Arabidopsis thaliana: one gene and its partner. The protein of the gene in region 1 interacts with the protein of each later gene in a pairwise test. Each region holds a gene or a part of one and is shown in the gene's direction. Other genes may lie near its edges.

What was found. The genes of interacting proteins can lie anywhere in the genome.
Region 2: the proteins of CB5-C (region 1) and RTE1 interact in a two-hybrid assay, tested with the Arabidopsis thaliana proteins (one study listed by BioGRID).

What each region holds. Positions count from the first base shown.
Region 1 is NC_003071.7:19,142,096-19,153,439, forward strand, and holds CB5-C (cytochrome B5), read left to right. Parts: upstream 1-9,385; 5' UTR 9,386-9,711; coding exon 9,712-9,789; intron 9,790-9,893; coding exon 9,894-9,960; intron 9,961-10,045; coding exon 10,046-10,299; 3' UTR 10,300-10,644; downstream 10,645-11,344. Other genes in the region: AT2G46630 (serine/arginine repetitive matrix protein), read left to right, coding at 3,434-4,618; AT2G46640 (NAD-dependent protein deacetylase HST1-like protein), read left to right, coding at 6,697-6,702, 6,798-6,843, 7,092-7,414, 7,852-8,181, 8,425-8,586. UniProt on the Arabidopsis thaliana protein: Membrane bound hemoprotein which function as an electron carrier for several membrane bound oxygenases, including fatty acid desaturases.
Region 2 is NC_003071.7:11,101,718-11,113,061, reverse strand, and holds RTE1 (protein REVERSION-TO-ETHYLENE SENSITIVITY-like protein (DUF778)), read left to right. Parts: upstream 1-5,873; 5' UTR 5,874-6,096; intron 6,097-6,444; 5' UTR 6,445-6,454; coding exon 6,455-7,321; 3' UTR 7,322-7,457; downstream 7,458-11,344. Other genes in the region: GLDP2 (glycine decarboxylase P-protein 2), read left to right, coding at 1-508, 674-919, 1,025-1,102, 1,195-1,295, 1,393-1,588, 1,662-1,787, 1,870-2,055, 2,149-2,262 and 7 more; emb1345 (Transducin/WD40 repeat-like superfamily protein), read right to left, coding at 7,935-8,009, 8,258-8,341, 8,521-8,590, 8,812-8,874, 9,033-9,104, 9,215-9,280, 9,380-9,444, 9,553-9,771 and 2 more. UniProt on the Arabidopsis thaliana protein: Acts at an early step in the ethylene signaling pathway. Positively regulates ETR1, leading to the negative regulation of ethylene responses.

The sequences.
Region 1 (11,344 bases):
TATTTTGCTTATTGTTGATATGTAGCGAGAGCATCGGATATTTGTATTTCCTAACTTGCACCAAAAATCAGCCTACTACAAAGAAGTTTAATCGACCAAAACACCGCCATTCAACGAGGGACTCAGTAATTTGGATAATATCGCAACTAATCATAATTAATTCATTACAGTTACAAGAAAAGTGTCATGTTCATGAGTAAATACACTTGTGGTCTTTTTATAAGATTGCATGTGTTTGGTGTTTGTTATTTGGTACAAGAAATATCAACACTCATTTAATTATGTTAAGGTATAAGTCTATATCATATAACTCTTATTTGGTTATCTATCTGTTGTTTTCTTTTTATTTGGTTAAAGCATTCATTTTGCTTAATGTAGATTTTTTTTGAATCTTAATATCATGCAAACTTAAATATGTTTTCGTCTAAAGACTAACGTGCAGACTTTTCATTGTTTATTTTGTTTGTAATTTGGAGGACTCTTCAAACAAGAATAGCTTCGTTTATACAAGGTGTGTATTGGCGGACTCAAAAAGACTTTGAATGTTTCAGCATGGGAATTTTCAAATTTCCTGAAGCCATACCCATACACGGTGGTCCTATATTAATAATAATTACACTCACTGGAAATAAATGTTCTTCCGTTATTTTTATCAGCTTTTGCTTTACATTTTCTGCACTAATCGATTGCCTGTAAAGTTGTACCAGTTGAACGTCATCGGTATGTGCATTCATCATGATTCCGTGTTCAATTATGCATATATTAAGATCGAGCTGATCAATCTAGTTGATCCCATTTAAACCAAACTAAAACCGTATTTAAACTTTTAAATACTGCAAATCCAGGTCAAACAAAACTGAAACATATGATATTTCTTACACATTTTATAACTCAAAAATCCAAAAACCAAAAACAAACCGATAATTAAATATAAACAAATAATGTATTCAAAATAATCAATCCCGAGTTGGATTAAAAATTACTAAAACTACATGTTTTTTTTTGTTTTTGTTTTGAGGACTTATGTTTACTCCAAGTTAGAAGAAAGGAAAAATGCATTTAGGTAGCATATTTTGCATGTGAGCTACCACATTAAAGAATGAACTCATTGTATGATCAACATATTCTATAAAGAGACTTCATTGGTATAAATTTATTGACGTATAATCCGACTAAACTTTTCCATGTGTTTAAGAATTTTGACTATTCGAGGCAAACTTAACAAAACTAAATTCTAACAACAACAAAACGTGTTTCGAACGAAGTTTTAGTCTTTCTTTGACGCTGACTTAATAGTAAAGAAATATAGGTTCAAATGGATAATATGAGAAAATAACAAATAGCCTGATTTATATTCTTGAATCTTGACTAAAGTCCACAACACGAACTATTTGAACTGATTTATTTCGCATCCGCTATGAATAAAAACGGAGTCTATAATTGCTTATGTTGAAAAGTATATCGAACTATTGACGAAAGGCCATTACGAACCTCTTAAGGATGATGGGCCTTTACACAATTTACCCAATTCAATGGGCATGTTAGAGCAACCTTAATAGTAGGCTCTTAATTTTATCTCTCGACTATTATGATGAATTGTTTTATTGAAAAAAATTATAGCTAAGAGTTTTTGTAATGGTTTGAAGCTCTTAAACCTTCTTTTATCTCTTAGAAACACTTCTAAACTATTCACATATCATTTTGATTAATTATACCTAAGAGTTATAGTAAGAGACTTGCAATAAGGATGGTCTTACAACTTTAAATGCCTTTTATTTATTGCCATTAGATATTAGAATTCAAAATTAACCAAATTTAACGAGTTAAAAAAATTTCAAAAGATTCTTTAAACGTTAGTTTCACTTTCATTGGTTACTAAAACTACCATTTGCATCAATGAATAAAATTGTTGGAAAGAGGCAAGTGGATGTGAAAGCTAATTTAAAAGATACTATGCATATCTTTATATAACAACTTGGAATGTTACACTCCTAATACTTTTGTTGATAATTTATAACAACATAGAATAATTGATTAGACTATTTTTAGTAACATGTTATCTCATACGATCTCTTTTAACCAGTTGACGAAAGAAAAAACGTCACTCTTAGTATTAAAAAGTTATGATATTAGTATTAATTTTTCAGGATCTTTCTAATACTGTTGACTTACTATATATATGTGATGTTTATATGAAAAATGTAAAATATATATGATTTAAATTTGTGGTGTGTACAAAATGTAAAGTTGAACAAAAATGAGAGGCTTATATTTAGATGCTACGCTTGATATGTAGGTGACTTCTGATGCACAATAATACACTATGAACCATTGTATATTGTTAAAATGATCATATAAGATATTTATTTTTGGTTCTTAAAGAAAATAATTAATGTGTATTAATTTTTCAAGATCTTCCTAATTATGTTGACTTCGACTATATATGTGATGTTTATGAGAAAATGCAAAATTGAACAACAAAGAGAGGCTTATAATTAGATGCTACGCTTGATATAGATACTTCTAACGCCCAATAAGCCACCAATAATACACTTTGAACCATTGTATCTTTTTTAAATGATCATAAGATATTTAATTTTTTTATTCGTAAAGGAAAGAATTAATGGCTCAGAGTAGTGATCAATACTTTAATTTTATGAATTTGAAAAAGAAAAGCTGAAGAAGATGCTAGCACATTACTTTTTATTGCTTATTAGTATTCGATGTTTGGTTTCTGAAGTTTCAATTCCCTTTTGATATAGTTTAACAATCGTTGAATAAAATCAAGTTGTCCAAAAATCCTAAATGAAACAATATCAACCGTTGCACTACTCTCTCCTTAGTAATTAGCATTCTTTTGAAACACGTACATAATTAGAGAAAAAAAAGTGAAACAAAGTTAAAATTAATGATATAAATTGAAATTAACTCAATGAGATTTCGGCGTATGATCCATCCCAGCTACCATTAAAATCACACATAGAGGATACATAGTCGGTCAAGCTAGTTGAGGGACTATAGTAATTTGTAAAGATTTTGTTCTTCATGCGGATTTAGTCGTCTTTTTGCGTCACTGTGACTAGATGCACACTTTTTCCAGACATAGCAACGAATCTAGAACCTGAATTATTTATTTATCAACGGTGATAGATAAGTTATAAGGAAAAGCTTGAATGTGGCTCTTAACGATTGATACCAATCGTAAAATGTGGGTTTTGCAAGCTGTAAATCTCATTGCATGGATCTGATACCTTTCTTCTTCATTTTTACCTTTTTCCTTTCATGTTTCTCGTGTTTCACTTTTCTTCAACACACACACTTGTTTATAATCTATCTATATATAAGCTTTGGTTACATGATATCTAAATCGTTCCATTGTGTTTTGCCACACTTATAAATAACATATAATTACAATTCAAATAAATATACACTAATGTCTAACATTCGTCCATGGTTCCGTCTCTCTAGCATCGCTAGGCCTACAGCGCAAGGTTCAAGCGACCCACCTCCACCTCAACCTCGACCAACCTCTCGCAGTTCGCTCGTAGTCAGACCACCGGCAAAACAACCGTCACCTCCACGTCAGCGACAACCTCGTTCACCTCCACGTCAGCAAGATCCTCCTTCACCTCCACGTCAGCAGCAACAGCCTCTTACCCCTCCACGTCAGAAGGCTCCTCCAACTTCACCCCCTCAAGAGCGGTCCCCATATCATTCACCTCCAAGCCGCCACATGTCACCACCGACCCCACCAAAGGCTGCGACACCACCTCCGCCACCGCCTCGGTCGTCATACACGTCCCCACCATCTCCCAAGGAAGTTCAAGAAGCCTTACCACCGCGAAAACCGAACTCACCACCGAGTCCAGCTCATTCAAGTCGGTCTACAACATCTGAGTCAGTGAAAACTCGGTCTCCATCAGAGTCAGAGAATCATCGGAAAGCACCATCACCGAGAGTACTATCACCTTACTCTCTCCCAGCTTCTCTGTTACATTCCGAACGTGAAACCACTCAGAAAAACATTCTCACTGCCGAGAAAACAAGCCAAACCCACGAAACAAATCATCATAACCAGAATCATAACCATGACTATAACCAGAACCATAACTATAACCAAAACCATAGCTATAACCAAAACCAAAACCATCAAGGCAACAACCCCAAGAAGATGCATCGTCAACCATCTTCGTCCGATTCTGAGAACATAATGAGCACACGAGTCATCACCATTGCAGGTGAAAACAAAGGTGCAGTAATGGAGATCCTACGATCTCCTCAAGGCAACAAAACCGGTGGTTCAGGAACACATTCCTCTAGGGTTTCACACGGCACCGGAGAGAAAGGACGGAGACTTCAAAGCAGCAGCAGTAGCAGCAGCGACGAAGGAGAAGGTAAGAAGAAAACGACGAAGAACGTCCCTAACAAAGGCAATAGTAACCTCCCAATGAAAGCTTTTATGAATAGTAACGTTCAGATGATAAACAACTCCATTGTCTACAACTCGACGGCATCTCATCATGATCCCGGCGTTCATCTTAAAATCTCCCGGAAACCTGGCTCCGACAATGGTTTTCATGTCAGTGATTACGGTAATAATGGCGGATACACCAACTGATGAAAGAAGAAAAAAAACTAAACTAAAATAAAAAAAAAGGTTTTGGATTTAAAATTGCAATAAATTCGATTTAATTAAAATAAATGAAAAAAAATAAAGAAAATATGAGTGGGGTTAATGGTTTCTGATTCTTCTCTAAAGCTTTTGGAACCCTCTCACTTATATGGAGGCTTTGATTCGTTTACTTAAAACGAACTTCTTTTTTTAATTACTTTTGTAAACGCGCGCATTGGTTCTCTCTGACGTAATTAATGAGAAATCAGTTATTGCTTTAATAATAATCATGAAACCCATATTATTGTGAAGGCCCGATGTATACTACATAAGCCCATATTCATACCTATGGGCCTATATAAACAATTTGTATTTACCGTAATATATTTACTTTTATCAATTGGGGTAACGATTTGGATAATTGAATCCAAAAGATTATTGTGCCACAAGCGACAAGTTTATGTGAAGAAAAGAGAACCAAACCTTGTATATTATTAATCAAATGACTTTCAAATCAACTCAAATGTCTAATTGGTTCCTGTGTCCGTTATGAGAAAAGCTCATGCTTCAATAAACCCTCTAATAAGATCACATTATTTATTTATACAAAAATATCCCAACCAATGTATATGCTTTTATATTTTTAATTTTTTTTGTAATGTAGAATCTATTCTACACAAATCGTTTTAGTGATTGTAACAGTATCTGAAAAAGAAGTGGGGAACTAAAGTGAGCATTTTGAATGCATAAAATAGAAATTGGAGGAGTTGAAAAGCCAGAGGGGTCTTTTATAAGCTGATTTATTCTTTATTAGTTCTTGAGTCGATTTTTGTGAATATTTAAAATTCACCAGGAGCAAATAAAAACATCACTACCTTATAAAATCATAATACAATACTTTCGAAAACTTATGCAATTGAATAAATTGGCCATATAATTAGGCAAAAGATAACAAGAAAAAATGTCCAAATCCCAAAAATTCGAGAACAAGAAGCAACTGACAAAGAGAAAGGAGAGTGAAGTGTCCAAATCCCAACAGTATGTGTGTGGTTTTGTGTGCTCTTCAAAAAGCTTTAGAGGGTACTTTGCATGTGCATATGCATATGCATTATGCATATAGTCCTCCTAATCTTTAATATTGTATCTTTGAGGATTTAATAGGTATCTGAGACCTTGCAAGTTGCAACTGAAGAATTTGAGTAAAGTTGGTCACAGATTATAAATCCGTAAATTATTACATTTTACAATTAATCCATTAGTAACGGATTGGCCATGTGATTTGGAATTTACAACTTAATAATGTTGTCAATAATTTAAGTATAGCTTGTTTCTGTCAAGAGAAATGGCAATGGCATAGCTTTTTACAATTTTGAAGATAATTTTACGTCAACGTTCTAAAACGTTGATGATTATCACTCTGAAAATTTGACGCTAGGGTTTGAATACATTATTGTTGATAGTGAAGAATGATCCGCGATGACATTCCGCGACATTTATATTATAGTGACCACAGTGACCGAATTGCTTCCACTATATTTGGACCCTTCTTGAGGGAATCCAAAGCTGGTGAATATGACATTTTCAAATAAGATATTAAAATTGTACGTCCATTTTTAAAAATTGATTGAAACCAAAACTTTCGCTTTAATGCAGCGAATTTTTCCTTTGATGTCTAATCAAATGATACAAACACTGAAAGCAACAGAAGTCTACCAACAAGATTACAAGAAATGAACCACGGAAAGATCAAGGAGGCACTGAAAATTAGTATTAAAATTTTCTTGTCAAACTTTGATAATTTATAAGTAATCGGGTCAAAAAGCAATTTCTTAATAATTAAGGGTGGGACAACGAATAGTGTGACGACCAGATTAGCAAGTGACATGTGGCACCTACTTATTGGCCTTGCCTCCCAAAAGTCAGACCGATCCAACCCACTCTTTGTAATTAACACGTGTCAGAAGCTGAAGGACTCTCCTATATGATTTATTTAATGTCTTAATAGATTTCTCATTTCACACTATCCTTTTTTGCTTGAGAACTTTCTTCACTCTTTCAACTGCTAAGAAGAAATAGAGAAAACTATGACGGTACGTAAATTTTGTTGTTAATTATTTTGCTTTAATCCTTTTTTCATATAGTTCGTAATTATAAATCTATAATTGTTTTCCGGGATTTTTCGAAGATCTTTAACTGGGTGCAGAAAAAGCTGCACCAAAATGTCATCAAAGGTTAGTTTTTTTTTTTATAGATAATCAATATCAGCTTTATTTTATAAAAAAATAACAAATTTGCTTTATTTTCCCTTTGTTTATTAGAATATCGTAAGCTTCACTAAAATAGTAGTTTACTTTTTGTAGTAGTATCATATAGGATCATGTGGTTCCCTGTTTAATAAATAGTTTTATATTAACGTATACCACGTTTTCGCTAAAGCATAAATTTTGTCCAACCTATATTTATTTTCATATGGTGAAAGAAATAGATGGTGTGAGGAAAAACGAGAAGAAGAAGAGGAATGAAGGAATAAGTGAGATTGAGAAGAACACGAAAGCTATATTGGATCAAGTTGGTTTAGTGGATGCTCTTGATAATTGGTTCGATGGAGTTCTCACCATCGGCACATTTGGCTTTGACACCTTGAACTTCAAAGAAGAAGATGAAATGGATGATGATGAATGCGGGAGTGGGGATCTCGACTACGTCGTAATTGATGGCAGCATCATCAAGAACGTCGACCAAGAGTCGGATCCTCTTATCTCCGTTGAAAATAAGTTTTATGATCATCATGAAGATGTCGGGGTACGTATTCTAATCAGTTCTATTGAGTACATTTTTATGATCCTCGGGTTGATTTACCAATAGAGAAGATTATATAGACATATGACATGCATATGCTTCAATTGTTCGTGTGCGTTTACGTTGATTTGATTAGTATATTCAAATGAATCCAAAATTTTAAAATCTTTAAACTAGTTTAATTGTTATTGTAGAAATAAGTTAACTAAAATGGAAGGATTATACGTTCACTAATCTACAAAAATTTGGGTTTTCTTTCAAAATATGACTTTAAAGACATATAAATGCAGAAATTGCATTTGAGTCAATCGAGATCGTCATTTTTTTTTCTGTCGACAATTAAGGCCATTATACGCAAAGAAATAAGTACATAAAATAAGTACATAAAATTATATCTTCTTGACTCTTGATATTGAATTTCTTGAGATCTTTCGTATTAGAATCTGTACGTACAGGCCGATACTGATCACTTTGGCTCGATCAAAACCGCTGAAACGCCAGCTGTCACGGCGGCAGCCGAGGCCGAGATAGAGCCACAGAAGAAGAGGACAACACTTGCGGAGCTTTTCATGGAGGACCACGACAAAGGTTATGACACGTGGCATTGCAAGAAACCCAATAACCCTAATCTTGACGGTGAGGAGGTTAAGTACTATAAACAAAACGGTTCAAAACTAAGCAAGAGGTTCTCGTTTGTTAAGAAGAAGCTGGTCATGTCAAAGTCCAAAGAGGAAGAAAACGACTTACGTCCAATCAAGAAAATGCGTCAGGTATTTAAATTTGTTTTAGTCAATTCCGTAACTATGAAACATTGATGATGATGGATATATGAACATGTTACATGTGCCTCTATAGCTCAAGGGAAACAATGTCACGTCAAGATCTAGATAATTATTCGTGCATGTTACAATTACATCACTTTTGTTGCTTCATAAGTGTACTCATATGTGAGTAAATATTCATTCGATGTCAACAAGTATAGCATCATTATATATGTGTATATATTACTGTAGATGATAAAGAGGATGTTGAAGAAGAAGATCCATCCAGATGTCGATGCAACTAAGGCTTTAAAGAAGGACGTTCCATACAAGCCAACTCGGAACTGTGAAGCTCTCGAGTCACATTATCTTCTTAAAATTCAAGGTTTGTATTTCTTAATTATTTTGGTTTAGGGGTTCGATATGATTTATTTCTTTCATTTGCTCGTATATATATGCTTTGTGGACAGATTGCGTGGCCTAGAAGTCTAAGAACGACGACATCGTACAAGAGCAATCTCTGGATCTATTGTTCTACTCCCTATAATATATGTGATTTTTTTGTTCTTATTTCAGAATGTGTTGGTATTGTTATGACTGTTGAGATGTATTGCTTTCTTCTTACAAACATTACTAAGTTGTTAGTATTTGTTCCTGTTATGCATATTGTATTTTATTACTATGTCATATGTTTTCTTATTTATACGTATATCAATGCATCGTTCTAAAATCGTGGATTGTCGTGAATCTGTGATAGTATTCCATCATGTCTGCTATAGCTTGGTCAGTTTTGAAGAAATTTCAAACCTAAAGTCATAAACTGATAAAGGACTAAATTATCCTACTCAAAACAGAAAGCCCTTTTGTGCGTTATTGGGCCTAATCAGAAAAGTGATTTTGAAAAAGGGCCTAATCAGAAAAGTGATTTTGAGGCTTTTTAAAAGTTTAAAGTAAACAAAAGAAAATTGAGGCTTGACTTTTCTTTCTTTTTTTGACTTGTTTTCTTTTTTCCTTTTTCTTATAAGAGAAAACTAAAACGTGAAAGAGCTTCACCAACCTGAGGTCGCTGACCACTTGGAGGCATTCTCAGCTACCAATCCATTAACTTACAAACTCCATATTCTTCACGTTTTACTATGGTAGGTACCTTTTTTTAACCTTGTTCGTAATAACAATTTTATACGAAAAGAATAGTATTAAACTTCAACAAAAACAACTATGTATATTAACTGGTCAGATATACATTGCTTTGTTCCCTTACATCTTCAAAGAGCTAAGATTAAACTATTTACCCCAAATAAGACTGTAATTTCATCAAAATCTAGTAATAATAATATTCAACAGCTTACAATATAAACATAACGCGTGTGGTCTCCATAAGCTACGCACTGTCTTTTCATCGGTTCGTAGAAACTAGAAACTCTTCCCCTCACGATCTTGCTTTCTTTATTTTGCTTCAACCCTAGTTTATTTGAAGTCTCTATATAAAGTTCTCTGTTTCAAGTTACTTTCTCAGCACGAGCAACCAAAAGTAATCATATGGCGAATCTAATTTCGTTTCACGATGTGGCTAAACATAAGTGCAAGAACGATTGTTGGATTCTCATCCATGGAAAGGTCCATATTTCTACTTTCTTTAAATCACGTAAACAAATTTATAGATTATAAATGCTCTGTTTTTTTAGCTTTATACTTGTTTCTAAACACATGTTTATCCACAGGTCTATGACATCAGCACTTTCATGGACGAACATCCCGGAGGTGACAATGTTCTCCTCGCCGTCACCGGTACGTACGAGTACGAGTTGGTTTATTCCGGTTTAGTTTGAATTTATCGGTTTGTAATTTTGTGAGTTTTTATGAAAATTTAAAGGGAAAGACGCGTCGATCGATTTCGAAGATGTGAACCATAGCAAAGATGCCAAGGAGCTAATGAAGAAATACTGTATCGGTGACGTTGACCAGTCAACGGTTCCGGTGACGCAACAGTATATTCCGCCGTGGGAGAAGGAATCTACGGCGGCGGAAACAACTAAAGAAGAATCTGGAAAGAAGCTGCTTATCTACTTAATTCCTCTCTTGATACTCGGCGTTGCTTTCGCTCTCAGATTCTACAACAACAAGTAGACCAAATTATGATGAACAGATTGATAAGAGTTTCTTACTGTTCTTGGTTTTCGTTTGTTGGTAATAACGGGCTTCTTATGTGAAGATTTGGGCCATTTGGCCCATCGCTCAGAATTGGACTATAATGTCTTATTTATTTTATGTTAATGGGCCGTATCAGTAGGCCCTTTGTTGATATATGCCAATCCCAATTTCTTCTAGCATGAGCTTTGTGTTATTTACTTGATTTTGATAAAACAACCAACTTATGCAGTAGATTCCATTTGACGAAAAAAAATAAAAATAAAAATGCAGTAGATTCCATTAAATTCGTACTTAATAATAAAAATGGGTGAGGGCATACTTACAAAGAAGGAATGTGTGTCAGTGTGTGTCAAAAATATGACACAGACACAGAATTATTTTTAGCAAAAACGTTCCACATAATTTCAACCTTTATACTGTCGGTTATTTTTTGCCACTTTAAAGACACAGAATTCAATGTGTCATAAAAAAGGACACAAAGAAATGAAGAATGTTGGTTTTTAATTTACTAATTCGAGAGGGGATTTATTAATCAAATTTCGAAATGTAATGTTAGTATTTCTATATTATATTACTAGAAGACGATTAAAAATATGAGAATATTTTTCTTAAGTAAAGTTTTTTTTTCTTTTTTAAACCGTGTAATGTTAATTGTTTGGTAAAACAAACCAAACATTCGTGTTTCTATGCAACTTATTAAACAAGTGATTGTTATTATATATAATAAAAAAAAACGTTTCCGGAGTGATAGTAGACTTGCAAAGATCGTTCACCAGAATCTTGGAAACTAAATTTTATAGTTTAATATCCTGTTGCGTTTTTTTTTTTTTTTTTAATTTATCCTGTTGCAGTCTTGATCTGTGATAGAATTCATAATTTATTTTATAAAAATCAAACGTACAATTTTGTGGGCTAACAATCAAATATTTCTGATATTTTAGATTTTAACTAAATTACAATGTGGTGTAAATATAAATTGAAACTAAAAATATATAAATTACTTTTTCTTGTATTTACAACC
Region 2 (11,344 bases), 8.0 Mb from region 1:
GAAGACGTTTGTTATTGCTAGTAATTGTCATCCTCAGACTATTGATGTTTGCAAGACGAGAGCGGATGGTTTCGATTTGAAAGTTGTGACGGTTGATATTAAGGATGTGGATTATAGCTCTGGTGATGTGTGTGGAGTGTTGGTTCAGTATCCGGGGACTGAAGGGGAGGTGTTGGATTATGGTGAGTTTGTTAAGAATGCTCATGCTAATGGTGTTAAGGTTGTTATGGCTACGGATTTGTTGGCTTTGACGATGTTGAAACCGCCGGGTGAGTTTGGGGCGGATATTGTTGTTGGGTCGGGTCAGAGGTTTGGTGTTCCGATGGGTTATGGTGGTCCTCATGCTGCTTTCTTGGCTACTTCACAAGAGTATAAGAGAATGATGCCTGGGAGGATTATTGGTGTTAGTGTTGATTCTTCCGGGAAGCAAGCTTTGCGTATGGCTATGCAGACTAGGGAACAGCATATCCGCAGGGATAAAGCTACCAGCAACATCTGTACCGCTCAGGTAAAAATGGCTTCAAACTCTATAGGATTTATGTAGTGTATACCGCTTTGACTATTACTGATAAGTGATAACAAAAGCGGGAAGAATTAGAGGTACCGAGAGAGCAGTACCATATTTTACATCTTCAAACTATTTTGCTATTGATTATCGTTTTCTACATTGTAGGCCTTGCTTGCAAATATGACTGCTATGTATGCTGTTTACCATGGACCAGAAGGCTTAAAATCTATTGCACAACGGGTTCATGGTCTCGCTGGTGTATTTGCCTTAGGATTGAAGAAACTGGGAACTGCACAAGTCCAAGATCTTCCCTTCTTTGACACTGTCAAAGTTACATGTTCAGATGCAACTGCAATTTTTGATGTGGCAGCCAAGAAGGAGATCAATTTGCGTCTTGTGGACTCCAACACTGTGAGTTTCTTCATATATATATATATATATATATATATATATATATTTCTTCAATATCTGGATATGATTATTAACATTGATGGGTTTTTTTTCTTGTTCTTTAAGATTACTGTTGCTTTCGATGAAACAACCACCTTGGATGATGTCGATAAACTTTTTGAAGTTTTTGCTTCGGGCAAGCCCGTGAGTTTACTTTAAGCTAATATCCATTCATCTCGCTTGTTCACTCTTTTTTTTCGTGTTTGCTTAAAATAATGTTTTCTCCAATGTACAAGGTTCAATTCACGGCTGAGTCTCTTGCACCGGAGTTTAACAATGCTATTCCCTCTAGCCTAACAAGAGAGAGCCCTTATCTGACCCATCCAATCTTCAACATGTATGTTACCTTCTTTAAATCTTGGTTCCTTCATTGCCCTGTGGCTTATTGTTAAGTACCTCACATTTACTTTCCCTTTTTTCTTACATTTGGTTAGGTACCACACGGAGCATGAGTTGCTTAGGTACATCCACAAGTTACAAAATAAAGATCTATCATTGTGCCACAGCATGATTCCACTTGGATCTTGTACGATGAAATTGAATGCCACCACTGAAATGATGCCAGTCACATGGCCAAGTTTCACCAACATGCACCCTTTTGCTCCTGTTGAACAAGCCCAAGGTTATCAGGTGAGGCCACATATTTGATTTACCTGACTAGAAATTTAACTACGTACTGAATTTTTTGTTTGACAACTTATAGGAAATGTTTACGAATTTGGGTGAGCTCTTATGTACGATCACTGGATTCGACTCTTTCTCATTGCAACCTAATGCCGGTGCTGCTGGCGAGTACGCCGGGCTCATGGTTATCCGTGCATATCATATGGTAAGCATACCTGTAGTTTCTTGTTTTCCAATATGAACTCGCACTTCAACAAATTTGGTAAATGGGTGAATAAATGATGCAGTCAAGAGGCGATCATCACAGAAATGTGTGCATCATACCTGTTTCTGCACACGGGACAAACCCTGCTAGTGCTGCCATGTGCGGAATGAAAATTGTTGCCGTTGGAACTGATGCCAAAGGAAACATTAACATCGAAGAGTTGAGGAACGCCGCCGAAGCCAACAAGGACAACTTGGCTGCTCTTATGGTATGTATTTACTTCTTTCATCACTATAGATGAAACAATGTCACTTTTGGGTCAATCCACTTTCTAATTCTACAACTTCTGTTTGAATATTAGGTTACATACCCTTCCACCCATGGAGTCTACGAAGAGGGTATCGACGAGATCTGCAACATAATTCATGAAAATGGAGGCCAAGTTTATATGGATGGTGCTAATATGAATGCACAGGTATGGTTTCTCTGCTGGTATGTTGACTGAAGAATCCAAAAGTTGTGAATTTGAGAAAGTTTTTGGAACTTCCAGGTGGGTTTGACAAGCCCTGGTTTTATTGGAGCGGATGTTTGCCATCTCAATCTCCACAAGACCTTCTGTATCCCTCACGGAGGTGGAGGTCCCGGAATGGGCCCTATCGGTGTGAAGCAACATTTGGCTCCATTCCTACCTTCTCACCCAGTGGTTAGTGTTAATTCTTATATGTTATGATCGCTAATCCATCTTTCTCAATGATTGAGTTATCTGCTTTTTTGTACTCATTCTGTTTACTCTGCTACAGATACCTACCGGTGGTATCCCTGAACCCGAGCAGACATCACCGCTGGGAACCATTTCTGCAGCACCATGGGGGTCTGCGCTTATCTTGCCAATCTCGTATACTTACATTGCCATGATGGGATCTGGAGGACTCACCGATGCCTCAAAGATTGCAATTTTGAACGCTAACTACATGGCAAAGCGTCTGGAGGTACCTTATCTTATCTTGACAACTCTTTAAAGAGAGTGAACGTCTCTTCTCTTGTGCAACCTCACTTATGCTTTCTTGTCTTTCAGAGCCACTACCCAGTTCTTTTCCGTGGTGTCAATGGAACAGTCGCTCACGAATTCATCATTGACTTGAGAGGATTCAAGGTATGTTTCTTTATCTCGTTTGAGTAAATGCTCTGTTTTTTGGTTGTACATGCTAAATCAATGTCTTGTTCAATGTCCTCAGAACACTGCTGGAATTGAACCAGAGGATGTGGCCAAACGATTGATGGATTATGGTTTCCATGGACCGACAATGTCTTGGCCTGTCCCTGGAACGCTTATGATCGAGCCAACCGAAAGCGAAAGCAAGGTAATTATGTCTTGCATTGCATTGCAAATCTCTCACTGACTCAGCTCTCAGTCTCTAAAACATGGCTTCATAATTTGTATATATATATGTAATATTTCAGGCTGAGTTAGATAGGTTCTGTGATGCTCTCATCTCGATCAGGGAAGAGATTTCACAGATTGAGAAAGGAAACGCAGATCCAAACAACAACGTTCTGAAGGTAAGAAAAAATTTGAGACCACAATTTCAGTTCGGACTAGCCCTCTAGTCTGATACTAATGAACTTTAAAAAACAAACACACACAGGGTGCTCCACATCCTCCGTCATTGCTAATGGCAGATACATGGAAAAAGCCGTATTCACGGGAATACGCAGCCTTCCCCGCTCCATGGCTCCGCTCCTCCAAGTTCTGGCCCACTACAGGTACTTGAAAACTAGGGGTGGCATTTCCCATAGAAAACAATTTGTTATTTGTAAATCGTTTCAAAATGTATTAAATATGTGTGAAACAGGGCGAGTGGACAACGTGTATGGAGACCGTAATCTGGTGTGCACTCTCCAACCGGCGAACGAAGAACAGGCTGCAGCTGCAGTGTCTGCTTAAATGAAGCCACTATGAAGCGATTCGCACTCGCACCAAAACCCACAATGGGGCGATTCGGACTCATACCGGATCCAGAAACGTATCTTTACTGGCTTTTACTTCTCTTCCCAGCCTCATCATCACTTTCACTTTCACTTCCTGTACAATGTACATACGTAGTCCTAAGTTCTTCCCTCATTTATTTAATAAAATACATTTCTTTATGTTCCACTTTCTTATACGTATAACATTCCATTTGGATGATGTGATCACCATCGTGGTTATATTTATGCCATATGATCTCTTTGAAAAAAGTTTGAATTCTTAGGATATTTATTGTTTCATTTTATAATTAGGAAATTTGGCAAAATAACCATAATTCTAGGTTTTATAAACAAACTGACTGACAACATATAGGTTCTGAATGGTTGCATGTAGAGTAAAAAGTGGAAGTGAAGGAGACAAAAAAATTTAGTGAAAGAAACAACCAAATATTAAAGGAAAGGAATCTAAATTTTGAAGTAGTTATTTTTTCTCTCTCCTTTGGGTAGAGTTAGATTTTTTTTTATAAAAAAAAGCTTAATACCAACTTGAACTTCCTTTCCAAAGAAAACTAGGAACTTGGTAGAGTTAAAATTTAATTTCACTTTTCTACATTTTGGCCAAAAAAAAACAAAAAGCAGTTCTAACCAATGCTAATCTTTTCTATTTTAGAGACACACATTGGAACAAAATCAACTCTAAAATAGTGAAAAAAAATAAAGGTAGGACATGGGAGATGCTCTTATGTTTCTGCTAATTTTTTCAATTGCCACTAATCAGACTTGTAGCATTATTCTACTAAATATCAGATTGGACATTAGATCACCTATACTAAAACCATCTCCAATGGTCACCTCTATAAATAGAGGAAAATATAGAGGTCATCATTAGAGATGCCCTAAGTCCTTGAACCAAAACCTGTATTTCCTCACAGAAAATAGATTTTCTGTATAGCCACATTAATTCATTCTAACTAGACTCTCACTGAATCTTTGAGAGGACCAACCTCATAATGATTTTTTCCTATCCTATATACTAATGCTTGTTTTTTTTTTTCTTCCGAAAGGTGATTAAAGGAGCATATTCTCATCGAGCCCTGTTCGGTTACCTCTCTAGCAAACAACTCATCTATCCTACGCTTTATCACTATTTTAGAGCACCTGACATTTCTCTTAAGAACAAATCAACCTTGTAAAGCATATGTGGCTTGATTCAAAAAGACAAACACTAGTGATAGACGCAAGAACCCTAAATAAAAAAAGTTTTCTAGATTCTCAAAACCGTTAGGTCTGACAGACATATATAAACAATTATCGAATTGTTATTAATTAATACGATGTCACTCTATACCTATAATAGAGATTAGGGTTTCCATGTGTTCATTTATCCAACCATAATTAATAACGACAACGGTAATCAATAAGACACATTAAGATTGATCGGTCAAGAGTTATGAGTTTCATAAGTCATCTCCAAATTTTGCGGAAACTAAATATTTAAACATCGGATTCTCTGTTTGTCAGTTGTCAGATCATCTGACTCGCATGCACATGATTCGTCTCAAAAAGGCAAACACGAATGATAGATGCAAGGACCCTAAATCAAGAAAGTTTTCTCGATTCTTAAAACCGTTACGTCCGACAGAAAAACATAAACAATTGTCGAATTGTCATAAATACGATGTCACTCTATACCTATAATAGAGATTGAGGTTTCCATGTGTTCATTTATCCAACCATAATGAATAACGACAACGGTAATCAAACACGACAAATTAGAAATAATCGTTCAAGAGATTTGAGTTTTATAGATTGACTCCAAATTTTACGGAAACTAAATATATAAACATCGGTTTCTTTGTTACAAAAAAAAAACATTGGATTCTCTTCAGTATTTGAGCTTTTATTACTGAAAATACAAATTTTATAATTTCGTAGCTCTGGATTCTGATAGTAAAACTGCAATTGAGAAGGATATTCAAATATTTCAAAATTTTCTAGTAAAACTGCAATTCGTAGATCTTTTTTTTTTGTTCAAAGTTTTGATAAAGCAAACGTCCCTTTTTCCTTAAAATAATTAACTTAGTATATAATAATAAAATTAAGACAGTGCAGTAATTGATAAACAACCAAAGGTTCATTGTACCTTTCTCCATTGTCTTCAATGAATTCCTAAAACTAGAAGAAGCGTTACTTTAGAAAACCAATTATAAAAATCTCCTCTTTCTTCATCAAATTCCACAAAGCATCAGTTTCTTCTCCTTCTCCAAGCTCTCGCATCACTTTCATCGATTTTTCCTCTCTGCGTCGATCCTTCAGACATCGGCGTCGGAGTTTCCGACAGGTAAATGTAAAACACAGTCCACTGTTATTCCCTGCTTCTTAGCTTTCCATTATGATTTTTTGTTGTGATTTTTACTGTTTTCTACGGAAATGCTTTTGATGGGTTTTGTTTAGTTTCCGGTGAAATTTACAGAGAAACCCACAATGCTGAAAATCTGAATTAGGCTCAAGTTAGGAGATTACTACACAATTAGTGCTGTGAGAATGAATATACGGACATGCTTTGTTAAAAAGATTGAAACTTTTGCTTCATTTTGATCAAAAGATTTTAACTTTCGATTCTTTTAGTAAATGGGTCGCTCTTTGTTTGGACTATAATGATCAGACTGCTCTTGTCTTGTGTGATTAGGAATCTAAAAATGTCACGTGGAAGAGGAGTTCCTATGATGGACCTGAAACGAAGTTATGATGTTGAAGACAGGGTGGTGTCCGTGTCTATACCATCAATAATCGAAGCTGATGAGGCTGATCTGTGGCCACTACCTGAGATTGATACCAAGAAGTCGAAATTTCCTTGCTGTATAGTTTGGACTCCTCTTCCTGTTGTCTCTTGGTTGGCTCCTTTCATTGGTCATATTGGACTTTGCAGAGAAGATGGAGTCATTTTGGACTTTGCTGGATCTAACTTCATCAATGTTGATGATTTTGCATTTGGTCCTCCTGCTCGCTATCTCCAACTCGATAGAACCAAGGTATTAGTATCTGCTTCTTTATTAAGTAGAATCTGGTTATGCATGGACTTTGTTAGTTTTGTATCAAATTATAAGAACTTTTTAATCTTTATCAAATGTGTGTGTTTGTGGCAGTGTTGCTTACCACCAAATATGGGTGGACATACTTGCAAGTATGGATTCAAACACACCGACTTTGGAACAGCGCGTACATGGGATAATGCACTGAGCTCGAGCACACGTAGCTTTGAGCATAAAACCTACAACATCTTCACTTGTAACTGCCATTCGTTTGTTGCAAACTGTTTGAACCGTCTTTGCTATGGTGGCTCAATGGAGTGGAATATGGTGAATGTTGCTATTTTACTTATGATCAAAGGGAAATGGATCAATGGTTCATCAGTAGTCCGCTCGTTTCTGCCATGTGCTGTGGTCACGTCTTTGGGGGTGGTGCTTGTCGGCTGGCCATTCCTCATCGGTCTCTCTTCGTTCTCGCTACTACTCTTTGCCTGGTTCATAATTGCTACTTACTGTTTTAAGAACATAATTACTTGAAGCAGTATGAGAGAAATATAAATATGATGTATCACCAAAATTATGTTAATCTTAAGAATTGTTCTCTTTTCCTTTCGGCACCATCTAGCTTTCAACTCCAAAATTATGTTAATCTTAAAAAATTGTTCTCTTTTTCCTAATCCGTAGATTATTTAGAGGTGATGTGTCATAGTAAAGGAAAAAAATATACATATTCGGAGGCCCTTAAGAAAAAAACATACAATATCCAAATAAATGTATTGTTAGGTATTAACAAAAAGAAAAAATATTGTAAGATCTTACAAGCACAAGCAGCAACCATATGAGTTGCATCTAAATTTGCTATTTATATGGAAAAAAGAAGTTTCTCCAAAGTTGTACGATATCAGCTATGTATTTTTTGTTTCGTCAAAAAGTTGTTTATTAAATTCCACAAAGTTGTACCAACAGTGTTAAAACTTAAGTGATCGTAGTAAAAGTAAAACAGAAATCGTATGAAACATCATGGAGCTAATCTTGTATGACAAAATAGTATAGAGTTCTCTTCTACCTAAAATGTTATGTTGTTTACAGATAGACCTCAGAAAAAGTAAAACAACACAGGAGTTTCAGAACCTATCCAAACCAACAGCAGTCACGGTTTAGTTGCAAGCTGCCAAATCTTGACCATCCCATCATCACTAGCCGACGCAAGCAACCGGTTCCCCTCCTGTAGCAGGTTACAATTCCAAGGTCAAAATCATAGACAACATAACCACATGTACTTGGGCCAATGTAAGTCGAGTAATCAATGGCATCATTTCTCTGATCCTAAAACTAAGCTTGAGTATTATGTTCTAACTTCTAATTCACATTTATAAGATGCCATATAGACTATACTTAATCATTGCAACCATGTATCAAGTACGAAATAGTATGCACTTGTGTCTATTACTTCATAAGAAACATGGAACTTACACCGGGTGACCATTGGACAGAGTTTACATCATTTTCATGTGCTTTATTCTTCTTCAGCAAAAGATTATATGAAGGTCCATCAACCTGGTACACAAAAGAATGACTTTAAGTTCAAAGATGAAGCAGAAAAGTTTAATTGTATAGTGGTAAACCATTGGCAAGACTAGGAGAGATAGAATCTGCTGCCTGCATTTGGTTTCTTGTATTGAGATATGTAAGTTAGGCGTGTATATATGGAAAGATATTAACCAAATTCAACTTACAGAGTCATGTTTGCTGTCCACAAACAACCGTATAGCATTATCGCCTGCTCCACTGGCAATAATGTCGTCCCTGTCAAAAATTTAAAATAAAAAGAAAACAAAACAAAACTGAGTTTAAACTCAGCACAGTCTCACGAAAGAGCATTAAAAATCCCAATTTGGATGCATTCGACAGATGACTGGGAGCGTAAATATCAGGTACAACAAAGAGTTTTTCCTTTTAGGCTGGCAGATTTAGAAATTAGGCAGAGTTACACGATGCTTTAAAGAAAACATGTGAGGTGTCAATACCTTGACCAGTGAGCTGAGTATATGGTACGGTCATGATAGCCAGAGAGAGTACAAAGATGAATCCTGCAAAGTCCGAGCAAGTAAGGATTACATTAGTCAAAATTGGACGGAGAAAAATTCTTGAAGAAGTCAAATAATCTTGTAGGCTACATACTACGTCCAGCTCTAAACGTAAGAAACAAATAAATTCGATTACATGTAATAACCCACTATTTTCTCACCAAGGTGCATATTCTTCACCAGACTGCATCTTGGCAATATCTGTCCCCCATATCTTCAAGGTTAGATCATCACTGCAAATACACATTCAGGCAAGCTTGCTACTGTAAGAACAATATCCCAAGAGACAGATTACATTGCTTCTAGAATGCCTATGGGAGACAAGGAGAGAAGATTCACTAACCTACAAGTGACCATCTTGTCCCCTGCAGCGTTAAATGAGATGGACCATACCGTTGAAGAGTGACCGCTGTTTGAAGAAGAAAGGCATATATTAATCTACTACTTCAAAAGTAAGAGCCTAATAAGAAAAAAATCGAAAGCATATAAGAAAAAGTAGAAGATATACTTGTTAGATTCACCTAAGGTTTGGACACATTGATACTCACCATCATCATCTTCAGACCACCAAACCTGTGAGTAGCACGCCACTAGCGTTATTCAATTATATAATTTTTTTTTTTTTGTGTAATAAATTTCAAGTTCTGCATTACTAAAACCTAATTAGAGTATTCGCATTACCTTGATGGTGTTATCATAACTGCAAGAAAATAAAACATCCATGGTGGGATGCCACTGAACCATCTTCACATCTTGTGTATGCCCAGTTAATACCGCAGCACAGTCATATTCATTCCCTTCAAGCACTTCCCAAATCCAAACAGACTTATCTCTACTACATGTTGCAAGGCATGAACCAGATGCATTCCATGATACACTTTTGACTTCGTTTTCATGTCCCTACACACATTTTTTTTAATAAGATTCTACTAGCCAAAAACGTGCGATACAAAGCATAAAGACAGTACAAGAAAACCACCAAAAGCTTTGAGCATAATTAAATATGAACTATGAAGTGAACACTGAAAAACTCCATGAGAGTTTGAGCTTAGCATTAAAGATCAAGAAAGAACAAAGTCAAAAGAGCAAACAGGAGCTGTGAAAAGTTATGCTTTCAGGTTCAAAGAACTAATTCTGGATAAGAATTTGACAATTTGTGGATGGTTCAAGGATTGGGCTAGAAAGTACCTCCAAAGTGGAAATACACTCAAACTCAGAACCGTAATTCTTCCAAATGCCAGTGGTACCATCAAAACTTGCAGTGGCCAATAACTGTCCTGAGGGTGACCAAGCGCACGACCTCACAGTTCTTGTATGCGTCTCTTCCAAAACTGTCTGAAGATTCACAATATACAATCAATAAATCTTTCTAGAGAAATAGCACAAGAACTAACACAACAGTCCTACACCATATCCAAATCACCAGTCGATTCCATGTTTAAGGTCAAGTTAATCTCTTTAGTGAATCGAAACAAAACCCACAAATTGTAATGTAAGACTGATCTAGAGAATCAATAGATTTTTGTGAATTGAACTTGCTAGGTCCAAAAAAGGCTAGAACTTTCTTGCGAGAAAGAGAAATGAGATAGAGACCTTGCAAGTCCAGGAGCGAGAGAGAGAGCTTTGTTCCCAGATTCGAACAGTGTTATCGCCACTGCAAGAAGCAAGAATCGGTGAAACACCGTCGGCGTGAGAAGAAACGGGGTTCCAAGCTACGCTCCAAACACGATCGGTGTGGCCTTCTAGTTTCTGAATCTCCACTAACTCCAAGTTCTTCTCCATCAAATCCATCTATGACGCTAGGCTACGAGAAGGCCTCCAGAAAGTTGAAAGGAGTAAGCTTTTAGGGCTGAGCAGAGATTGTGCAACAGGTGACCTGAAACTATATATGATTCAATTCGGTTTCGGTCACAAGTAAGCCTAGGCATTCGTGATTTGTGTATGGGCATGGGTTTGGGTCTGGGTTTGAGTTCGGTTTGGGTTCGTTATTTTTTAATGGCGGTACAAAAATAAAAGCTAGATTAGAGGTTTAAACTTTAAAGTGTTTTTAAGTAAAATCAATTTGATTTCTAATTTTATTTAATTAGTTTTATTTACTAATATTAAAAAAAAAATATTTTCAAATCTTTGAAAGAGGTTGAAAATAGATATTGAGGAGATTTTTATTCTAAGATAAATTTTCATTTCTAATAAAAAAAATATTAACAAGCTAATTTTCTTAGAACTCGAAGGTCATATTCTTAAATTTATTTTTCAAATTAAATCATTAGGTTTTTTGTTCTTATTATATAAACTAGTGCTAGCACCGCAGATGTACATTTAAATTAAGTTAAATATATGTCTTTAATAATTTGTTACCTTTTAATTTTGATTAGCATCAGCACAATATTATCTATTTTATATTCTAGTAAAAAATATGTGTTTTTAGCCTGATTTTAAATACCGCTAAACATCAATCTGGGATTAGGTTAGA